Linked DNA regions of Oreochromis niloticus. The protein of the gene in region 1 interacts with the protein of each later gene in a biochemical or structural test. Links are inferred from orthologs where the notes say so. Each region holds a gene or a part of one and is shown in the gene's direction. Other genes may lie near its edges. The genes, in order: arhgap1 and bnip2.

Evidence for each region.
Region 2: the proteins of arhgap1 (region 1) and bnip2 form a complex in vitro, tested with the Homo sapiens proteins (2 studies listed by BioGRID). The link is inferred for Oreochromis niloticus from reciprocal best matches to the Homo sapiens genes ARHGAP1 and BNIP2.

The regions. Positions count from the first base shown.
Region 1 is NC_031986.2:1,875,834-1,883,105, reverse strand, and holds the start of arhgap1 (rho GTPase-activating protein 1), read left to right. Parts: upstream 1-4,020; 5' UTR 4,021-4,164; intron 4,165-4,580; exon of another isoform or gene 4,581-4,595; intron 4,596-7,272. Other genes in the region: arl6ip6 (ADP-ribosylation factor-like protein 6-interacting protein 6), read right to left, coding at 332-464, 1,041-1,094, 2,659-2,800. UniProt on the Homo sapiens protein: GTPase activator for the Rho, Rac and Cdc42 proteins, converting them to the putatively inactive GDP-bound state. Cdc42 seems to be the preferred substrate.
Region 2 is NC_031972.2:52,314,118-52,321,803, reverse strand, and holds the start of bnip2 (BCL2/adenovirus E1B 19 kDa protein-interacting protein 2), read left to right. Parts: upstream 1-4,665; 5' UTR 4,666-4,761; intron 4,762-4,941; exon of another isoform or gene 4,942-5,682; 5' UTR 5,683-5,764; coding exon 5,765-6,129; intron 6,130-7,686.

The DNA.
Region 1 (7,272 bases):
ATAAATAAATGAAGGTTTGGGAGTGACCCAGTCAAAGTCCAGCCTGAAATCAGATTGAGATTGTTTGGCCTTAAACAGGCTGTTCATGCTGGAACAAGGGCCAGTTACTTTAGTTTAGAAGAGTTTAGGGACCAGGTAGATTAGGATAGATTTTCTTAATAAATGAAAACTGCACTTGGTATTTACTCAGGTTTTCTTTGTGTAATATTCAAATTTGTTTGATCTGAAGAACAGAAGTTTAAGAAAAAAAACACACATGTGTAAGAAATCAGCATTATAAGGGAGAATACCTGATTTATATACTCATACAAAGCGTATCCAAGTGTGTTACCTGAAGTGGGCCACTGTCCGCAGTGTTGGGAATTCCATACCAGGCTGGAATGAGTCAAGGTAGGTGAGCATCCACGAGAACCCACAGCAGATGCATCCTACTAATACTGACAGGACCAGGATACTCCAGAAACCTGATTACACACAGTGCAGGATCAGGATTTACAGTTTCTACAGCCTGGATCTCTTCCCTTGTTTTACACAATAAGAGAGAAACCACTGTTGTAGCAACTTGGCTTTTCTGGCCGCTTATTGTGATGTTGAAAGCCAGAACATCATCCTTGTCACACTGTGTTTGACTGCTTCCACTCTTCTCCGTACTGATAAAACATGATTAGTTTTTGTTTTGGTGTTACAATAAAAAACAGTATATACAAAAAACCCAGAACTCTTGGACAGCAGGTGACCCACAGTCTAAATAAACATGTCTATGGCAAAGTTGTTGAATATGTGGATCTCTTTTGTTACTTTAATAAAGATTAGTTTCTAGGATTTTGCAGAATAATAAGTAATGAAACCTAACTGTTGGCTGCAGCCCTCAGATATTTACACCAGTTACTTTGTACAGTACTTTTCAGAAATGTTGAAACATGGTATTAGAGCTTTCTCTCAGTATATGTGATGCACATGTAACCAAAGAAAGTGTAAACCGAGCATGATGGTGAACACAAGTACCTGGACGGAGCAGTAAATACAGAGCTTATACTTACCGAGCATCTTCTCTTCAGTGCCATCCTCTCCTGTCACCCTCTCTGCCCGCAGCTCTGAAACAATCAAAAGTCACTTATGCTGACCAACATTTGTTAAAAAGCTAGATCTTATCTGGTCCTGTGCCAGACAAGCATATGTACATATATATATATATTATATAAATATAAAAATTCCCCACTCGCCCCTGCAGGCGGTCTATCCTTCAAGCTCGGGTCCTCTACCAGAGGCCTGGGAGCTTGAGGGTCCTGTGCAGTATCTTAGCTCTTCCCAGGACTGCGCTCTTCTGGACAGAGATCTCTGATGTTGTTCCCGGGATCTGCTGGACCCACTCGCCTAGCTTGGGAGTCACTGCACCCAGTGCTCCGATTACCACGGGGACCACTGTTACCTTCAACCTCCACACAATCTCAAGCTCTTCTCTGAGCCCTTGGTACTTCTGCTTCTTCCTGATGTTGCTGTCATTCAAAACCCCTACATCTATCACTACGGCTGTCTTCTTCTGTTTGTCTACCACCACTATGTCCGGTTGGTTAGCCACCACCATTTTTGTCTGTCTGTATCTGGAAGTCCCACAGGATCTTAGCTCGGTCATTCTCCACCACCCTTGGGGGCGTCTCCCATTTTGACCTCAGGACTTCCAGGCCATACTCGGTACAGATGTTCCTGTACACTATGCCGGCCACTTGGTTATGGCGTTCCATGTATGCCCTGCCTGCTAGCATCTTGCTCCCTGCTGTTATGTGCTAGATTGTCTCAGGGGCATCTTTACACAGCCTGCACCTGGGGTCTTGCCTGGTGTGATAGACCCCAGCCTCTATGGATCTTGTACTCAGAGCTTGTTCCTGTGCTGCCATGATTAGTGCCTCTGTGCTGTCTTTCAGTCCAGCTTTGTCCAGCAACTGGTAGGATTCTGGATGTCAGCCACCTCCTCTGTCTGCTGGTCCTACCATGATGGTTCCTCCTCTTTCTTGGGTTTCTGCTGCATGAGGTATTCACTGAGCACACAGTTGGTTGTGGACATCTTCCTGATGTACTCATGGAAGTTTGTTTCATCCTGGAAAGTGGTACTGACACTCACCAGTCCCTGGCCTCCTCCTTTCTGCTTCACATACAGCCTGAAGTTGCTGAGGATCCTCAGGACTTGCCTGACGCACTGCAGGTACTTGGTGGTTGCAGCTTTCCTAGCGACCTCTTCATACATATATTTATATATATATATATATATATATATATATATATATATATATGATTTAATATATTACAATGATATAATACATATTTGACATGTCAGCAGTTTTCTAAGTAAATATATTTCTTAAGATGTTATAAGGTGTTACTGACATGAAATTCTCACCAGCTGTCGGCAACAACCCATCCAGTGCACACATGCAAAGAAATCATCCACAGATGTGCATTTATTCATTATTATGTGTAATAATGAAAAATTATTGAACAAATGTATTTAACACTTCGTACAAAAGCATTTGCTGGTGATGACTATATTATAAATATCCCTTTGGATTGACCGATCATCCTACAGTAAAAACAGTCTTTTCCTTTTCTGATCCCACTGATCTGATCCTGATTTGCGCGTGAGGTACAGGGCCGCGCGCTTACCTTTGAGTATGGGGTAGATAAGGGCGCAGAGAAACCCGACCGCGGCCACTGCTCCGGCCGAGCCCAGCACCGACAGCGCGACCACGGGCCATGGTTTGGGACCGTTCCGCCTCGCGCTCCTGGCAGGCTCCTGTCCCAACATGTAACGCTGCTCACTCAAATGAACAAATGAAAATGTCTGCAAACCAAACTTTTCCACAGCCGCGCTCAGCAGAACAAAGCTTTCTTCATACACAGCATGTGAATTCACAGACTCTACGTCACACCGATGACATGCTCACAGTGACGACCCGACTGCTTTTAACTTGTACCAGGAACTGCTGATTACATGTTTGAACTTTTCGCTTCCGCACACAAAATTGTCCCCGAGGGGGTTCCGTTGGTGTAGTTTAAACTGCCACAGTTAAATATGTGGAAACAAGCTTAGCTAGGCCACTTACAGTCTTTTAAATGGTTTTATGTCTGTTTCTTTTAAATTCAGTTGTGGTAAAGTATCAGGCAGAAAGAACAGTTTACCATGTTTCACTCTTCACAGGTGTTGCAAAGATTTTGTGCCTCAAAATCTGTGTGAGCCTCTCGCCCTAAGACAGCTGGGATAGGCTCCAGCCCCCGGCGAACCTGAGCTGGATAAGCGGAAGAGAATGGATGGAAATTTGTAACACTGATTGGCTGATAGTAATCTGCACTGATTGTATGTTGATACGTGTTGGCCTGTTTTATCTGCTGAATTGCTCCAACAATTAACATTTTCATATTTTTTATTCTAAACCGCTTTCTCTTTTATTTAATAGAGAGTTTCCTCAAACAAATGTCCTAAAGATTATAAAGCTCCTCATGCATCGTTAGCAGTATATTTTGAAGTAGCCGCACAGTTGTATCCGTGAGTCCACAGCAACACCATTAATCATTTTCATAATGATCTGAAAGGTACTCTATTATAACATGCATAACAGTAATGATCGGATTCTCTTGTTTCAAGTATGCTTTCAAAAATAAAAAAAAGAACTGTTGAATTAGTTGTTTTTAAATAAAGTACTTAATTAAAACAGTAATTGTTTTAAAATTAATTTAAAAAATCATAAAAAGGTGTACTTTGAGCTATCTCAGCTTTAACCCTCTTCTGTCTCCTCCCACAATTTTGTTTTCTCACGCGCTCTGAATAAATTATTTAATTGGCTGAGCGGCATCGCAGTTACAATTCACGCCATTGGTCTGTGTGTAAAATAGAATATTATCATTAGAATAATAGATATAGATAGACACAATAGAATCAGCTTGTCATACTTTAGACTCAGACCTATTACTAAAACACCACGGGGACGCTTTCTCTTTTTTTTAGCACTTTTATTTTGACAGGTATAGTAAACAAAAACTGAATTGATAGCTTTATTTTGAAAACAACAAACCGGAAGAGTTGCTGACGCAGGTTTGTTGACGACAACAGTCTACGTTGACTTCAGACGCCACAAAGTGAATCGGTTGTAACGGAGTAGCTGGACTATTACGGTAAAACAAATTTCATGATGCTGTTTGGTAGAAACTGAAGATGTTAGAAGCACGCGGGGCTCACGCGCTGTGATGCTCGTGCGTTGTTAGTCGGGTGTTGTGGGGCTAATTTGTTGTGATGAGGTCATTTGTTAACACTGCGGTGTTCTGGTTTAGCCCAACTAAGCGTCGTTTCAGTTACTGAAGCCTCACAGCGTATAAAAGGCTGTTTATAAAACGTGCATCCGTGTGCCGAATATGGTGAATTTAGCCGAGCCATCTTGCTAGGCGGTTTGCTGAGGCGTTTCGCTGTGTGATAATGACCAGCGAGTGTGGCTGCGTTAGCCTGTTTAGCTTTTCTGAATCAGCAGCTAATGACACTGAAAGGTTTCTCCTGCTGAACTGTTTGGTAAAAGTAAAAGAGGTCAGCTGCTCACCTGTTGCTTTTATCACTGGACTGCCAGCAGTGAAGGTGTCAGCTCAGCCCGCCCGCCAAACTCCGTTCTGGTTTAATGCTCTTCCCCCATTCGTAGCATTTTCCCAAAGATGACGTCTCACTTCAAAAATGTGTATATATCACACATTATCGTGTTATGGTAGTGCATCTGTGTTTTCATAGCTTGGAGTGATGTCCCTTCCACTTACACACTACAGTGTATTTTGTAGTTTATTGGTTATGATTGGTATTTACTGGAAAACTACATTAAAAAATAATGAGACAGCCTCTGGGTGTACTTTCATAGTGACGCAGAGGTTACAGAATCAGGCTGATGGTGTCTTTGAGCTACACCCTCTGCAGTAAACTGTCCTGGTGGCAGGCGGAGGTTCTGAATGGCAAACAGAATGCGAAACTATTCTGCTTAAAATAGAGGTGATTAAAAAAATGACACGTTCTGCTGTCTTGTGACAGGATAAGCCAACAGTCCTTTTATAGTTGTGCCTTTCTTTTCTCTGGTTGAGCTAATTATTTGGATTGGATCATCTCTGGGCTTTAGAAAGGATTTTAGAAATATTAAAAGTAACCTCAGCACTTTAACAACCCGGGACACCAGTCACAGTCAGACCTTGCCTGACTGCGTGCTTCATATCTGAAAAAGCATCGTGGTCATTTACCTTAAAACTCTGGAGTGCACCGCTCTTATGCTGGACCTGATAACACTGATTGGTCTGGTACTTGTGTGAATGTGTGGAGTCACATTAACAGACAGACACGGACAGTTTTACAACGTTCAGCCACCGAATGTTTTTAAGTATAGTTGCGACCTCAGTTATATTAATATTACTAGCTGCAAAGTTCAGTCTCATGCCTTTGTCACAGCAACTCTACGCCTGTGAAATTTACCAAACCTGAATGTAAAAGTGACCCTTGCCTGAAAGGCACAGTGTCATCATTTTGACTGATTCAAGAAGCCAGCAGTGTTAGGTGATCATGACTGAAAAGGCCTCTAAAGTATAAACATCTTAAAGTACATTTTATAAATAAATGTAACCCACCAAGAAGACTGGGGCTAAAGCTGTGATGAAATGAAAGCTGTAGCAGTGATTGCAAACATCAGTGAATTGCATGGATACCATGCAGGAAGATGAAATGAGCTGTTCCTTAAATATATGGCATGTCAGAAACAGTGGTTGCTTTTTTGTGGGCTTTTTGGTTGCCATTGTTCAGGTTCTTCTTCTTTTTGTGGCATCCCTCAGGTAGTTAAAAAAAGAACATAAAATGAAGTTCCCCAGCTAGAGGTGATTGGAGTTTAAGCTCAGTGTCAGTCTCTGGTCGGCATTAGAAACTGTGGGGTGTGTTGTGGTGCAGAAATGTTACTGCAGGTACGTGTGCGTGTGTGAGAGAAATGGAGAGTGTGACTGTTGCTGCTGCTGCATGTACATGCCAGTATTATGTTTTTTTTGCATATTTGATGGTGCATGCTGCTGTTAGGGATGAACCCTTAGGTAGTATTTAGACTACTGAAGCTGAAATGCCATAAAAGCATAAAATAAGTAGAGTAGTGTTTCACATGTAGAAATGCTCAGTAATAATACTGTGTTACTCCATGGCTTTTTCCTGCACTAGAGCTTTCTTAGGAATCATTTCCTGAGCCCCTGGAGCATGCTCTGACCAAACTGCTCTCCTCAGCTGCTCTGCAGTGCTGAGAGAAAAGAGGAATAGAGGGGGCTGGGTACTGTGCTTGCTGGATGCTTCTGTTAGATGCTCATATGTACACAAAGTGGCTTTATCTATCTATCCGTGTGTGTGTGTGCATATATATATATATGCACAGATGTGGGTAGTGCAACACGATCCACAAACAGTGCCTCATGCATACATGGTGTTGTGGCTGGATACACTGCATGGGTAAAGATACACAAGATTCAACATTGTCAACATTTGTAACAGAGTGGAGAGAGTCTCGCACTCAGAGAATCAAGGTTACAGAGTAACCGTACGTTCTATAGCTAATAGGTCTTGCTAATGACCTACTAATTCTTTCACAGGTGTGTTGCAGCAGCGGCACATTTAAAAGTTTCAGGACACCAGCCCTCAAGGACTTGAGTTTGACACCCCTGCCCTATCAGATCCTATCCTGAACTAACCTTGTCGACACTAAGGATGCAACTATCTGGTTTAAAAAAGAAGCAAACGCAAAGAAACCTACTTTAAACTGAGCAGTGAGGTGGAAATCGGCTTTCAAGGCTAACCCTTATACCCTGCTCACAAACCGTAGTCCTTGCAGTCCCTGTGAAACTCTGCATGTTTCACATACTGGTTCCTCTTCTCCTGACCTCTGACTATTTACACTTGGTGTCTCCTCCACCATCAGAGAGATGATCCTGAAACTTGAGGTTTCTCTGCTTTTTTTTTTTTTCTATCATAGAGCTCGGAAACTTTAGCATTACATATTTTCAGTGCTTCTCAACTTAAAAAAAAAAAAGCCAAATAGGCACAATAAATTAGGCAAATAGCAACAGATCATCCAGTGCAGACAATAGGACTGAAAGCCACGAAAGTAAACAGTGTTCTTGTATTTTGAATCCAGAGCTGTCAGACCTGAAGTGCCTGGAGCGAGCTTACTTGTTTCAGTTCTGAACGTAACGTGTGGAACTTTGTCATAGAAATAAACTCACAGTCAGGTTTTG
Region 2 (7,686 bases), on another chromosome or scaffold:
TAATAGTCTGCCCACAGGTTAGTAAGGGCATGACACAGCTACCCTGACAAAGTTAAACTTGGACAGATGAGCGCAGGTGAGAACGCTTGCTGCGATTATAATAAATTTAAGAGGCAGTTTAATAAAAAATTTGAATATGTGGTGAAACTTAAAATTCATAAGAGGTGTGCATGCTTTTTTTTTCTATTCACGGACATTTTTAGCTTTTTTCCTTATGAACCATAGAGGAATAATGTCATGCAGCTGTAGAGCAGGAGATCTGCAAAATACTAAACATAGTTCTTAAACTGCCATTACTATGCCATTACACCTTGGCATTTACTGGGGCATTTCTCGACCACATTTTGCATGGTGCACACGATATTCCTCACGTGATCAAAAGGGAGGCATATTGAGGGAAAGCAGTCAAAGATCTAGCTCCACTCAATTAGCTTCAGCAAGATAATTAATCAGTTCAGTATGCACATCCAAGTCTCAGAGGCGTCTTTGAGATAATTGTTCTCATTGACTTGAATAATTATTTGTTTGCTGATTTAATTATTTTCACATTTGGAAAACAAATGAATGCGTGCTGGTACATACTTTGGATCTCTTTTTTTTTCTTTTGATGTATGCAGGTGAGTGTCAGACTAAAAGAATGACTGAAAACTTCTTTTCAGAAAATATCTCTTGAGAAATTATCTGGAACCAAATTCAGACAATTGTGTTTTTTTAAACCATAACCTCAACGCGAAGACAGTCAATAAAACATAAAATGTTTCTTCCTTGTGGCATCAATACAAACTACGATGAATCAAAGGCTAATATTTCTCAGACAGGAGGTCATCTCAGGGTTACAGACACAGAGTCCTCGTACACTGACTGGCACGGTGAAAACAATTGTCAGAGTCCTCGGTTCACACCATTACAAGTGCGACTGAGACCTTGCGGCTACTGTAGCAAATAGCACAAATTATGGGGGCCATTTTAATAGCAGTCTCTACTATTTATCATGCTGTTTTAAATGTTTTGCTCATTTGTTTCCATTAAATATTTCATCTTCCCTTAAATATTCATTTAACTTCCTCTTTAAATTTTTTACCAGTCTCTTTGCAGTTGCTATCTTCTTGCCTCCCTTTTAGGCTTTGCAATCATAAATAATTATTCATCTACACCCAAAAAGAGATTGCATAAAACATGCACATGAATCCTTTTTGTCTTTTCTCATTAGTGATATACTTCGAGTAGCCTAAATACTTCCCGCTACCCCACTTATGGAAATTGGTCGGAGAACCTTCCTAATGATTCTGCTTCACAAATAGGATACAGCCTGCATTTCTGATCCTAACATTCATCCCATCCTTTCAGGATGAAAGGCGGGGTCGGCTGCAGATCCCAAGTTTGTGTATTACTTTTAAAAGGAGGACTAATCCTGACATATTATCCATCAGACAATGCTCTTTTAGATTTTACTGTTTTAACCCAATGCTGGGCTCCGGTGGACCTACTGTACTCTGAATGCCTGCTTCCTGGTACTTAACTGTATATTGAAGAAAAAGATATACCAAAAAAAAGAGAGTGCAACACAAATCCACAGCATTTGGATTTCCTAAAATATTTCCAGAAGAAAATTATAAAAAAAATAAAAAGTCATCACATCATTTATAAATATTTAAGATAAATTGGTATTCCTTGGCTCAGTATATTTTCCTTGGCTAAACAGCCAACATTTGTCTTAATTTGTTAGATAATTTCAACTTGCCTTATTAGCATGTAGTGCCATGTTGGAAGGTGAAAGGGAAGCATAAACTCTCAATTTGACTGGATTATCCTTTTGTGATGAGGCCTAATGATCCAGCAGAGTAAATAGCAAAGTGTTAATTAGAAATTACAGTGAATGATCCGCTGCACACAGAGGAGGTATTAATCGGGCTGCATCATTATATTATACTCAGAGTTGTTTTTTCTTTTCTTGTAAAAATAATATATCTAAAAAAATATATATATATTATTTCCGATGTAGCTAATATGCTCCAAAAGTGCCAACTGACCAGCAATGCCTATAAATAAAACCACCCCTAGGTGTGACTGAAATTATATTCTACTGAAATTAACTATTTTCAAAAATATGTACATGCTGTTCACTAATGTAATTATTCCTCAATTCGTATGTCTTTCCTAATTTGTTTTTTAATTTGGAAAATATTATGGAAAGGGCCTTGTAATTGTGGCTGCAGCTGGCAGTTACTTCTGAATAAATCTCAGACTTTGCCTAATTTGGATGTTGCACAGTTCATGGCAGATTTTAATCAATAAAGGCGTCCCCCTAAACTACAACATTTAAGTAAGCATTTGCCTCCACCTAGTGGTAAATGTTGGTTACTGAGGCTAGAGCTGCCAATAAATATTCAATGACTACTGTAAAGACTGGAATTCTGCTGGTAGAAACCACATATTGTTTCTATTATATGTCATGAATAATTAAAAGATTGTATTTTTTTTTATTTGTAATAGTTTTCGATTTTTTAATTATGTTAATACAATAACATCTTTAAATTATTTCTTTGAACTGATCTTTTTCCCAGGTGAACTGATTGTACAGTATGCATCTTTAATGACTTTAACAAACAAGTACTGGGTGCACAAGTTTGAATATAGTTTGGATTTTCTCTAATCCACACAGCCAAAAGTATACATACAGACTCTTAACATATACATAAACTTCATTTTTAATTGTATTTTTAATTTATTTTTTAAATAAATGGTGCTGAAGGTTCTCATTAGTGATCACAGTTGACTACAACTGCTAATTTCTCATCACCAGCATAAAAAGGGTTTCTTTGAGAGCACTAATTGGACCGAACAACACTTTTAAAATGGGAATGTCTAAGGAGCTCAGTGAAGAAGGAAAGTTGTAGATTTACATAAGCTGCAAAGGTCTTGGGGACCTTTCTAAGCAACTGCAGACTCCAAGATCATCAGTTTAAACAAGTGCAGTGCAGGTTCTTTGGATGTGTCACCACTTTGCCAAAATCTAGAAGAAGTGCCCAAACTGTCACCCTCAGATAAGAGGAAATATGTTAGGATGTTCAAGAACAACCCAAGAACAAACAAAACTCCAGCCTGTGACGGTGCTGACCAAGAAGGGAGCCTCTGCTCCAAAATCAACACCTTTCAGCTTGACTGAAATTTACAGCTGCCCACATGGACAAGCCAAATGCCTTCTGGAGAAAAGTCTGGAGAAACACTATCTGACCAAAAAGATTGATCTATGTGATCACAGTAAAGAGCTATGTTTGAGTTTCACAATAAAAGTGAAACTTTCAAACCTAATAACACTGAACCAGCTGTCAAACTTGGTAGTGATATCGTCATGTTCTAGGATTGTTTTGCTATCAGTAGCACTGGTACATTGCACAAAGTGAAAGAAATAATGCAGGAGGACTACCTCAAAATTCTTCAGCTTCATCTCAAATCAACAACTGTTGATTGTTGAAACGTGGACACAGTTGGGTGTTCTAACAGGACAATGATCCAAAGCATGCATCAAAGCTGGTTTTGGAATGGATAAAGCAAGTGGTATGACCTTTCCAAGGCTCTGACCAAAACTCTATTGAAAATTTGTGGACTACGTTTGAAAACTGGGTCAGTGCCAGGAAACCAACCAATTTAAATGAACTCTTTGCCAAGAAAGAGTAAAATAAATTCAAATTCAAACTTGTGCACCCAATTTTTGTTTTTTAAAGTCATTAAATATGTAGAAGGTAGAAAGCTGATAAAACAGAGAGGGCTTCTAAAATACCAATGCCATTGCATTATACACAGGACTGGTTCAGTTTACTTTGCAATATAGTCAGCTACTGACCTCAAGTGACATTATTTCATGTAGTTAATAACTAAATCCATGAACTTTGAATTTCTTTGAAAGAGATGGATAGAGCTTCAAAAAATTTGACTTACACAATAATGCTTTTCTTTTCTATGCAAACAGAAGAACTTTGCATATTCAGCATTTACAGTTAGTCAAACCAAATTAGCCTTGCAAAAACAGAGGCCTACTATACAAGACAAGTCACAAGTATGCACTTCAACAGCTTCATTATTTCATTGGTAATGATGAAAAAAGTCATATTTTAAATATTTACTGAAAGGATAATCAAGTAATCACTGACGAAGTGACTATAATCCGATTACATATCTTTTTAAAAATGAATTGCGCTCAGAGTTACTTATTTGTGTAACCTTATTAGCTAAGAGATTATTAGCTAGATTAGGTATAAATGTTACTGCCCTAATGTAATGAAATCTATCATAACACAAACTCTTTTTACAGTGTTGCCTTTTCAGACACAGTCTCATTAATGCTTATTAAATAAATTGAATAAAAATAAAAAGTAAAAAATAAAAATACTTTGGCTTGACTGACTAACTAGCAGTTACTTCCCACTGTAAGAGAGAACAGTGCGATTCCTAGTATAAATCATTACACGAAATCAACACGTTGCGGTTTTTAACCTTTAACCCACTGCTGCACAAATCACTAATGGGTAGCGAGATGAAAGCAAGAAATACAGTTTGGACAACAGAGCTGGATTAGAGACGTGTGTGAACCAGACTGTGTAGTCTATACCGTGTCATTTCTATGTTTCCAGTATCAGCAGAGGGCAGTGAAGCTTGCTAGGGTAGAGACGCTTCTGCGGCTCATGGAAGGACCATTGCTATTAGGGGTGCCAGATTTGCTCGTTTTCCACGGACCAGAGCAGTCTGAGCCAATAACTCTAGGTATATTACGTTGTTTTGTTTTTTATCATTATTATTACATACTTTTTATCTACATTTTACTAACTTTATTTTATGTGGGACACCCAAAAAGAAGTTTCAGTTTTGAAAATATAATATCATTATGTAACTCGTGGTCGCAGCGGGCCAGTTAAAAGAAAAGCTTACAGTGCACCAAAATGACATTTTAATTAAATTTAGCGTGCTTTTGTGTGCTTGCATACAAAAAATAAATTCATAAATTTTACACGTAACCACGAACTGGGTCGTTTATGCCGAAGAACCTGCAGGAAACACAACTGGCAACTCCGCTGACCATAAACTGTATGCATATACACTATGATAGAGCTAGGCGTTGTTAGCAAACAGTTAACTTCTGCCGTTTAGTAGCCGAGGCTCGTGTGTCGGCAAATTAAAAGGAAGTAGTCTTTGTATTTAACATGGGTCCAAGAAAAGACTGTCCTTACGTTGAGCTGTAGTTGATAACTGCCGAAATATTTCTTTTTTAGCTCATAGACGGCGTTAATTGGAATACAAAGCTTGTTTTGTCGTGGCTAAACTTTGCTAGCTCCAAAGCTAGCCTGACTGAATGTGTTACGTCCACCGGAGAGCCCTCTGGACTTGGAGGAAGGAAGGAAGGAAACTGATAAGTGGGATAACTGCGCACCTATGCTCCTGCAAAGCTAGAACTCTATAGGACTCTTGAGTTAACACCGTGACGCATTTAGAAAAGGTGACTATCTGTAGACTTAGCGTGATATTTGACACTGTTTGGTTAATGAGATATGCTGTTAGTTGGCATAGCTAGCTGCTAGCGCCACGTCTCTGGGCTAGCTGTACAGCAGACGAGAGCTATCCTGTTAGCCACAAACTTCCAAAGAAGTTGTGTAAGTCAGATTTTTCTTTCTGGTTGATTTGGTCAAGGAGCTGAACGGTGATTAAAGCATTTCACGGTCGGACTCTTTAACTCTGATCTGCTGTACCACCGGGACAACCGGAGAAACTTATGGCATCGGATGTGATTGAGAGTGAAGCGGTGCTGAAGGGTGTAAGTGATATGAATTTGAACAATAGCAGCCCAGATACTGTCACACCCAGGGGGACTCTTGAGGATTTGGGAAACAGACAGACGTCCAGCCCGTCATCATCCGGTGTATCGGGAGAAGGCGATGACGAGGAAACAGACGAATTGCAAAATACCACAGCTTCTGCTCCAGAAAAGGGCGAAGAGGAGTTTCAAGACAGTCTAACCAAAACAAGCGGTACGCCACAGGAAAGGAAGACTCCAGACAATGTGCAGAAACAACGAGGAAAAAGCTCTACCCCGGTGAGCGTTCCCCAGCCACGCTCACCAGCTGGAGCCACTGGAAGGTGTGTATTTGGACATTTTTGTGTTTTCCTTACATAGAAGCAAACTATGAAAACATTAGCACAGATATGGTTTAGTCACTCCCAGAGTCAAACGATACTTATGTCGGTGGTTCTAAAGTGGACGTAGGTGTACATGTGACTGTGTTTGTGTGTCTGCCTTTGTGTTGGTTATAGCGCAGTGTAACGACCTGTGTCAGTTGGGATAGGCCAAAGAGCGTTGTATCATGGCCTACAGTCTGTGAAATGTATCTCATACATGTCTCTCATGAATGATAACAAGCCATTTTCAGTCAGAAAAGTATCATAAAGTAGAAGCTGAAATCAGTTTTTGGCAGAGTGACTTTTATATATCCTTTTATTTATTCTGGTAGAAAGTCTCGTTGACATTAAAAATTCAATTTTCAAGAGGGAAGGGGGAATTGCAACAAATGTAACATTTCTTTAAAGCTTTTTTAATTGGCTGACTGGCTGGGTTGGTTATAATATAGAACACAGAGTAGGTACAATATTGCAGAATCATACAACCAGGTCATTACTTTATTTTATATATAACCCCCTTTTTTAAAATTCTGCTCATGACAGCCTGTTCATCAACTTAAGTAAAGATATTAGATGCATAAAAAAGAACACAGAGAAATTGGCAGTCACTTTTTAGCACAACACTGGTCCTCTTCAGGAGGATGTGTCAAAGGTATGGATTTCAGAATTGACAAGCAACCTATCCTTAACCATTTTTTGTCAATACATATTGTTTACTGGGAGCCAATCACTCCTGCGTCTTCATTCCACTTCTCTTATTAGATATTTGTCAGTAAAGTCTTTTGTGCAGCAAAAAATAAGCAACTTGACATGGTGTGGATACTCGAGCTCTAAAACATTTCTAAACTATTTTTAAAAAATAATTAAAAACACACACCTATAAGTACAATTTTTTTGCAGTAATCTTGAAAATTGCTTGTCCAGGAGTCAACTTCCAAAAATGTCATCATTTAACCTCAGAGTTCATCTGCATCTTTGTAGCACTCGTATTGTGCTCTAAAAATATTTGTTTTCAACATCTTGCCAGAAACTGTTGGAACCCAGCCATCCCGAAACTAATTCAGGACCATTAGATTACTTTGGAGATCTTAAGTTCAGAAAAAGCTGTTTCAGTTTAGCCAAACTGTTCATATACAAAGGTTTGTCTAACTTCTGAACTGGTTAAGATGTGAAATTGATAGTTTTCTCTACTTATAGATATTAGTGCACTTTGCTCTACACCTCTCAGGGCTGTATTTTTTAACGCTTGATCAGCCATTTTATTGGAAGTATTGTGAATATTAATTGGAGGGAGCTATAAAGCTAATAAAGAATAGTAACAGACTTAAACCTTTCACATAACTAAAACAGGAAAAAAACGCAGCAAAAATGAATGTAGATGCAACGATAATCTTATAATAATCTTGTATTTGTTTCATTTATGTTGAAGTTATGAATACAAAAAATGACTTCTCATTTAACTGGTAACACATTTAATTTTGCCTTGAGCTTTATTTAAACAAATTAGCATTCCATCTT